Linked DNA regions of Oreochromis niloticus. The protein of the gene in region 1 interacts with the protein of each later gene in a pairwise test. Links are inferred from orthologs where the notes say so. Each region holds a gene or a part of one and is shown in the gene's direction. Other genes may lie near its edges.

Region 1 (3,754 bases):
ACTAGTATATACATATATATATATATATATATATATATATATATAGTATATGCATCGTGTTCGTGACAACAAAATATGACTGCAGGAGTGTGGTTAACTCGGTGTGTTCATATGTGACAACGACGAGCCATTGACAGAAAGAGGAAGAGTAGACAGATGCTGATTAAAGGCAGATTAGTGAAAGGATGCTAAGTGTTAGTTTTTTACGTGCAAACCAGGCATAAGAACAGCATCTGAGGGCGTTGGCACACCTAAAATAACAAAGACTAACCCTCCCTTTTGTGGTTTGTCCCCCCCCCCCCCCCCCCCCCTTTTTTTATAGCACAACCACAAAGATTAACCTACAGTCTAGATATGTGAATCGATGTGCTATAAGTTGAGCGAGAAAGACATGATATTGAGCAGTACAGATGGCGATTGACGTGGAAGGTTAATCCTGGTATTAGAGAGAAGATAAATAAAAGCTCTATGAATACAGGATGAATCAAATCTGAATGTATGTCATTTGGTATGTGAGAGGGAGACAAATAAAACTTTCATTTTTTAACTTTTAATTTCTTCCTTATTCTCAGCACTGCATGTGTGAGAAAAAAAATAGAGAGCAGCAATTTTGTTGTTGGCTAGTAACGGGGTTACATTACAGAAAAACTAATAAAGAACACGTGCAAAAATATGAATAGCCCTTAATCCATCTTTCACAAATTTAATGACTTTAAAAACAACAACCGGGTGCTGTTTATTCAGGATTTTCTCTTATCTACGCAGAGTTAAAATTGTAAAAATGTATATGTGCATACATTGCATCCATAGCCAACAAATGACAGATTGCTGTCAGATGGTTTTGTTGCCTTCAGTTCACAAAGCACTAAAGCATTATTAAAATCGCTCGGATTGTGGTTAGTTCAAGCAGCTACTCTCCTAAGGGTGCATGTTGATGCATTAAGACTTGATTTAATAAACCTGTTTGAGAGGATAAACTGTGCAGTGAATGCCTTCAGAGTTCCTACAGAGCACAAATATGTAACTGCAGCAAACATTCAGCGGTAATACAGCACCACCCAGTGCCACTGTTCACTAATGACCCAGGATTTACAAGATGCATGTGACAGCGTACAAGTCCTGCTCACCTCTACAGGTGGCCGATGAGACCTTTGCTCAGGGTGACATAGAGATGACGTTTCACAAACACAAAAATGATAACAGCGTGAGGAAGACAAAATCAACTTTTCTGCACACACTGCAGATGCTGATACACCTCTGAGTTTGATCAGTCAGCCACCTCTGTGTGTGTGTGCAAGGATGTTATCAAGGATGTGAAACCTCTTGGCTTTCATGCAGTCATACACTGCTCAATTACACATCTTGGTTTCCAGCCAGCAGACAGTTCACATGACAGTAAAAAACCCAGTCCAGACTAAAGCAGATAAGTTAACAGGCTGATAAAGGCCTGCTTGTTGGCCTGGGGGTTACTGGAAGCACTGCCCCTTTAACTAGCTCTCCTCCCCGTCAGTCCCACACGCGTACTGTTGCTCTCTTCCCCATTTCGCTGCTTTGTTTTCATTGTCGCTCTTCCGATCATGGCTGCTCATTCTACCGAAGAGCCGTTCCCCTTCCACGGGCTGCTCCCCAAAAAAGAAACCGGCGCTGCCTCTTACCTCACCCGGTTCCCCGAGTATGATGGCCGAGGGGTGCTCATCGCCATCCTCGACACCGGCGTGGATCCCGGGGCCCCCGGCATGCAGGTAGATCTGACCGGCTGCCTCGTGTTAAGCCACGACCTAGTTGGCGGAAGCTAGCGAAGCTAAAGGGCCGACTCATTCACTTCATTGGTATACAACGGCAGCGGCTAGTCATCTAGCTAGATACTTAGCATCTGTGGATACACCAATAGTTAACTTTAACGCCACAATGACAACCAAATTAAGGCAAAGCAGCTAGTAGTGTGTGTTTACCCCTGCTGTCAGAGTGTATTTCCGTGCTAGTCTGGCGTACAGTTAGCCAGTAAGTTAAAATGTGTGCTAGCATGACAGCCTGGAAGCTAGCTGCTGAATTCTTTTCGTGTTTTTTTTTTTTTTTACCCCCTTTATTCCAGTGTTTACATTATTAGACTTACATGCTGACTGGATGTTGTAGCTAGCTTAATAGTAGTAAGGCAGAGTAAACTAAGCGTATTTGGCGTTTTGATAAGTGGCCCGTAAACTGTGAAACTTTATCCTCACTGCCAAGTCACAACGTAAAAAAATAAGCCGACCAATACAGTGTTAAACACTACATGTTACTCTAAACCTGCCTATTTCAGTGCACATGTGTAAGTCTAGCTGGATAGCTTTCACAATACATGAGCTTATTTTCTGTTCTCTTGCTTCAGTCATGCTTGAGGGGCTGAGACTGAAACTGACTGCTTCTCTGGTAGTAAACAAATCCTCATGTTAAAAAGCACGTTGAGCTTTTTCAGGTATCATTTTACTCAAGACCGGCTGAGTTACTTAGCTGATTTATGGATGACGATTCATTTAGTTTGCTGTCCATATCCCCCTCCCCATTCAATGTAAGATACTGGTTATGATGTGCACCTTTTTCTGTCTGTATTCTAGTGGATTGCTGATTTCTTTCATATTTTTTTTTTGTTCTCTTAGGTCACAACTGAGGGGAAGCCAAAGATTGTTGACATCATCGATACGACAGGCAGTGGCGATGTGAACATGACCACCGTGGCGGAGCCTAAAGATGGGACAATCACCGGCCTCTCTGGCAGAACGCTCAAGGTCAGTATATAAACATATCCATGTACACAAACATTAAAAACATTCCTTTATAGGCGCTCTCGTTCATCTGTTTCACACTGCATATTTTTTTAATGTCGTCCAGGTCCCTCCTGCTTGGGTCAATCCATCAGGGAAGTATCGCATTGGAGTTAAAAATGGCTACGAGTTCTTCCCCAAGGCTCTGAAAGAAAGAGTACAGGTAGGAAGAGGTGACATTATTACTTCACTTTGTCTGACACAGTGTTGATTTTTTTTTTTGATGAGCACAAAGCCCAGTACTCCTGACACGTGGACAATTAAGCTTGGACATGATAGCAACTGTTCAAAAGACTCATGGCAGTGGAGCTTCTGGACACCTGAGTCACAGACAGGCCTTTTTTCCTGATGTTTCAACACTTCAATCAGCTTTGGCGATAAAACAAAAAAAACCTGCTGAATTGTCCTCTTCCCTCTCATAGAAAATCTATCTGAAATCAGTGAACTGATAGGATTTGACCTTTATTCTGAATTGATTATCCATACTTGGAAAATTTTGTAACGAGTTTATAGCTTTTTTTCATATAATACACTCACATGGTGAATGAATGGGGGAAAAACACAATTGGAGTGTCCCTGTTGACAGCTCTTCAGCTGAGATTATTTCCTGCCTTGTATGTTAGACTGTGTGTTGTGTTGGAGAGTTATTGTTTTTTTTTTTTGTGGTTTTTGACTACTAGAAAGAGCGAAAGGAGAAGATGTGGGACCCGCCACACAGAGCAGCACTCGCTGAGGTTTGCCGCAAGACGGAAGAGTTTGACCTCGCTCATCCAAACCCCTCACAGGTCAGACCTGCTCCCTTGAGGTCATTTGAGAGAAAAAGGCAACGTTTATGTTAGAAAATATGTACATTTATAAATTCATAGAGCGAGCTGGAGGAGAGAACTTGAAAGTGAGAATGGCACAAATAATGCTTTTAAAGAAGTGGGATTGTGGGCTGATTATTGAACAAG
Region 2 (3,754 bases), on another chromosome or scaffold:
TCATACATGTAGATAACTGCCACGGGAATGCCCAACACTGAGATACTACACAGTGTTTTTAACTGGTAGATTAAGATTTAGCTGGTAGATTAGTCTTAAATCTAGTGATGGGATGTGCTGGCCCAGTCTTTGGACTGTGTGTTGAGAAATCCAGGAAGTCTTTTATGAAGCACGTATCAAGGCTTAGTTGTGGTTGGATCACCACCTTTAAGTTGAAGAGACAAATTATTTTTTTCTAGTAAAATTCTTTTCTTGGTTTGATTTTTCATCAGTTTGGCCAAACAATCTGGACTATAAATATGGCAAACTAATCCACTGCTGTAGGAAAAAAAGGGGGAAAAAAGACTGGGCTGTCAGTCTGTTGAAAAGCCTATTATTTCTTCCTCCAGTGCTCAGCCATCCGTCACAATAACAGCAGCTTAGTAAGTACAGTAAATAGTACAGAATGAACATCAGTAGTTGCCTCACTAATTATGTGTTTCTGACATTTTTTTTTCTTCAGCCCACCGCTCCCTGGTGACGGAGCTGCTCTCCCTGCCTCTCAAAGCTGACAATCTGAGTATTCGCTCACGCCGGGCCCAACTTGACTGTAGGCTTTCTGAAATTGAAGAAGCCATAAAAATTTTCTCCAGGGACAGAGTTTTTGTAAAAATAGATTCTTAACACACGAGGAAAAGGAGGGAAGGAAGTGGCTAAGTAAATGTATTGCTTTATTGAGATTAACTTTCATTTTTTAGTTGCATTAGATAACATTACGCTGTTTGTTGTGAAATTATTTTTAAAATGTGAATAAATCATTTTGTAAGCTTATTACAAAATACAAAAGAGCATCTTTAGGCATCATTTGCTGAGATGTGATTTCTTTGGTATGGATGTGCTAATGATTTATAATAAAGAACATTTTTGTGAAGTTACTGTGTACGTACTTACATAATTTTTGTAACTTGGAATGTTAAAACCTACCAAACAATGCACTACAGCTTTTTTTAGTTAATTTCATTGCATGAATAAATATAGAAATACACTAGAACTCAGTAATTTTCGATTGTTCCGATTCATTTTGTGTCATATTTATTTATTATTTATTATACTATAATTATACTAGTTGAAGCAGATGTGAATGTTGTGGCTAACGATGACGTTTTACGCACGCCCCGCCCCCTCTACGTTATCGTTCATTGTTTGGCGTGAGAGCTAGCCTAAGCTAACGTGCTAGTAGGAGGCTAGCTGGAAATAAAAAGAGCTTCAGGCTCTCGTGCCTACATAAACGCCCATATATCTCTCCAGTGTTTATTTGAGAGACTGTCAGATTCAAAATGAGCAAGAGGAAAGCGCCGCAGGAGTCCCTAAATGAGGGAATAACAGACTTTCTCGTCGGTACGTTAAGAGATTGTTGAACTCAGCTAACCGTTGCTAGCATGGAAGTTGGGTTCTGTTATTAAATATAAATACCAACCGTGCTGGTAAACTAACCCTGCACGAGTAGCGGGTATCAAAATATTCTAAATATAGAGTTGTAGTTGTTGCATCTAGTTATCTGGATTGCTTACACGTGTGATTTGGTTCGCTCGCTATCTGCCTTGTCATTTAAATGCCTTCTACCTTCAGCTGAGTTGGCAGAAGATTAAGTAGCAGGAATAAAGTAGCATGAGGGAAATGTGAAGTCTTGCCTTGTCCTAACACTGCCTCTGTTTCCAGAATTGGCCAACTACGAGAAAAATGTCAACAGAGCAATACACAAATACAATGCATACAGGTAAGCTCATAATTATGTGAAAACCTGTCCCAGTCACTGGTCTTCATAAAACAAGCGTTTCAAGTGTATTACGTCCACTCGGCCATAAATGATGGTGTTAGTACAACGCCCCCATATAAGTCTATTCTTATATGACTAAGTATAGACTCATGTTAAAAGAAACATTCTATTGAATTAGAATGTCTTTAAAACACTTTCAGTTAAGAGAAATAACTCTTTTTTTTGTTGCTTAAAAACTACATTATTAGAGTGAACCCCACATGATCGGATAAGCAGCACTTCACAGGAAGAACTCCCTTTTAACAGGGGGACCTCCAAAAAGACCTCCAGTAGAACTAGGTTCAGGGAGGACTGACTGTCTGTAGTGACCTGTTTACAACAACAGGAACTTGTAGGTAGTAAAAAAGGAATCATTACATCCATTAGTGCTATATAACACATAAAGTGATAAAAGAGGTTAACTGAATCATGGGAAGCCCCAGAGCAGCCTGAGCCTGCATCAGCGTGACTAAGAAGTGGCTCAAAACTGATACCTGATCCGGCCTTGTCGTTATCAAAAAGGAAGTTTTAAGTGGAGAGGATGACTGTCTCTTCAGGAAAAAACTGGAAGCTGATTCCACTGGAAAGGGGCTGATGGCTGAAATCTTTACAACTTTGTTACTTAGGATCCAGTAAGCCAAGTAAGCCTCCAGTCCGAGAGTGAAGGACTCTGCTGACGTAATAGGATGGAGCCCAGTCATTCATTTAAAATCAAAGGATTTTAAATTTGATTTTGTATTTAGCAGGGAGGCAATTGAGATAAGCTATAATAGGAGAAGTATGATCTAGTGTTCTAGTCCACCAGAAAAGCATAGAGTACAAGATAAACTTCCTGGATTTATGATTAGGTTTTTGCTGTATGCTGTATCATAGCATTGTCATGTTTACACTTACGATCTAAAAGAAATTAACCTAAAGAAAAAGTGGCCTAATTCAATTTTACATATGTTTTTTGCTATGACTTACACGGTCCCTTGTTTTCTGTGCTTAGGAAAGCAGCATCTACGATTTCTAAGTACCCTCACAAAATCAAAAGTGGAGAAGAGGCCAAGAAACTGGTATGTATGTGTATGTATGTATAAGTTGTCATAGGCAGACTGATAGATAAAAAATATAAATGAAAGAAATATCTTCTTTCTTAACAAAAGAATTGGCATATAGAACTGGAGATTTCTCTTTGCATGTTATCAAATCAGAGGTCATCTGTCATCCTCTCCATGTGCTTTAAAATGTGTGACTTTCACTGTCACAATGACATTGTTAAACCTGGCAGCGCCCCCATCATTATTTATCTGGCCTACCACTAATGTGCTCATGCTGCTGTTTATGTGATGGCCTCTGTTGTAGCCTGTTTGTCAACAGCTTCTCTGCACATCTTACATAATCACTGCAGATCACACTGCTGAGCAGCACCCTCATGATTGTTGTCACATTTCAATAGGATGGTGTTGGAGCTAAAATAGCAGAAAAGATTGATGAGTTTCTGCAAACTGGCAAACTTAGGAAACTGGAAAAGGTGAGTCTAAGAGATCACTTTACTGATGTCACACTGTAAAAATAATTTTTTAATAGTTATTTTTATGTCTATGTACTGAGTTATTACACAGACTGATGCGCTACATTTATATCTTCCAACAGATCCGAAACGATGACACTAGCTCTTCCATCAATTTCCTCACCAGAGTTACTGGAATTGGGTATGTTGTTTGGTTGTTCACTCTGCACGTATGATAAAAAATTATATGTTCATATTCAGAATTAGAATATAGCAAGTGTATTATTGACTTTCTGTTGTAATATTGTATGTGCTTTATTTTCACTTCAGACCTGCTGCTGCCAGGAAGTTTGTTGAAGAAGGGGTGAAGACTTTAGAAGGTTTGTGTAGCATTTGCCTCAAATTAAAATTGATACATATTTTGTATGGTTAGTATAATTTTTTTTAGCTCAGTGCCGTGAGCA

What was found.
Region 2: the proteins of tpp2 (region 1) and polb interact in binary tests that used the Homo sapiens proteins (3 or more experiments, as listed by UniProt). The two-hybrid records come from large-scale screens. The link is inferred for Oreochromis niloticus from reciprocal best matches to the Homo sapiens genes TPP2 and POLB.

What each region holds. Positions count from the first base shown.
Region 1 is NC_031965.2:16,547,254-16,551,007, forward strand, and holds the start of tpp2 (tripeptidyl-peptidase 2), read left to right. Parts: upstream 1-1,473; 5' UTR 1,474-1,577; coding exon 1,578-1,742; intron 1,743-2,636; coding exon 2,637-2,765; intron 2,766-2,868; coding exon 2,869-2,964; intron 2,965-3,481; coding exon 3,482-3,586; intron 3,587-3,754. UniProt on the Homo sapiens protein: Cytosolic tripeptidyl-peptidase that releases N-terminal tripeptides from polypeptides and is a component of the proteolytic cascade acting downstream of the 26S proteasome in the ubiquitin-proteasome pathway.
Region 2 is NC_031977.2:25,924,484-25,928,237, reverse strand, and holds the start of polb (DNA polymerase beta), read left to right. Parts: upstream 1-1,143; 5' UTR 1,144-1,316; coding exon 1,317-1,377; intron 1,378-1,698; coding exon 1,699-1,756; intron 1,757-2,786; coding exon 2,787-2,853; intron 2,854-3,236; coding exon 3,237-3,311; intron 3,312-3,433; coding exon 3,434-3,492; intron 3,493-3,620; coding exon 3,621-3,670; intron 3,671-3,754. Other genes in the region: enkd1 (enkurin domain-containing protein 1), read left to right, coding at 503-663.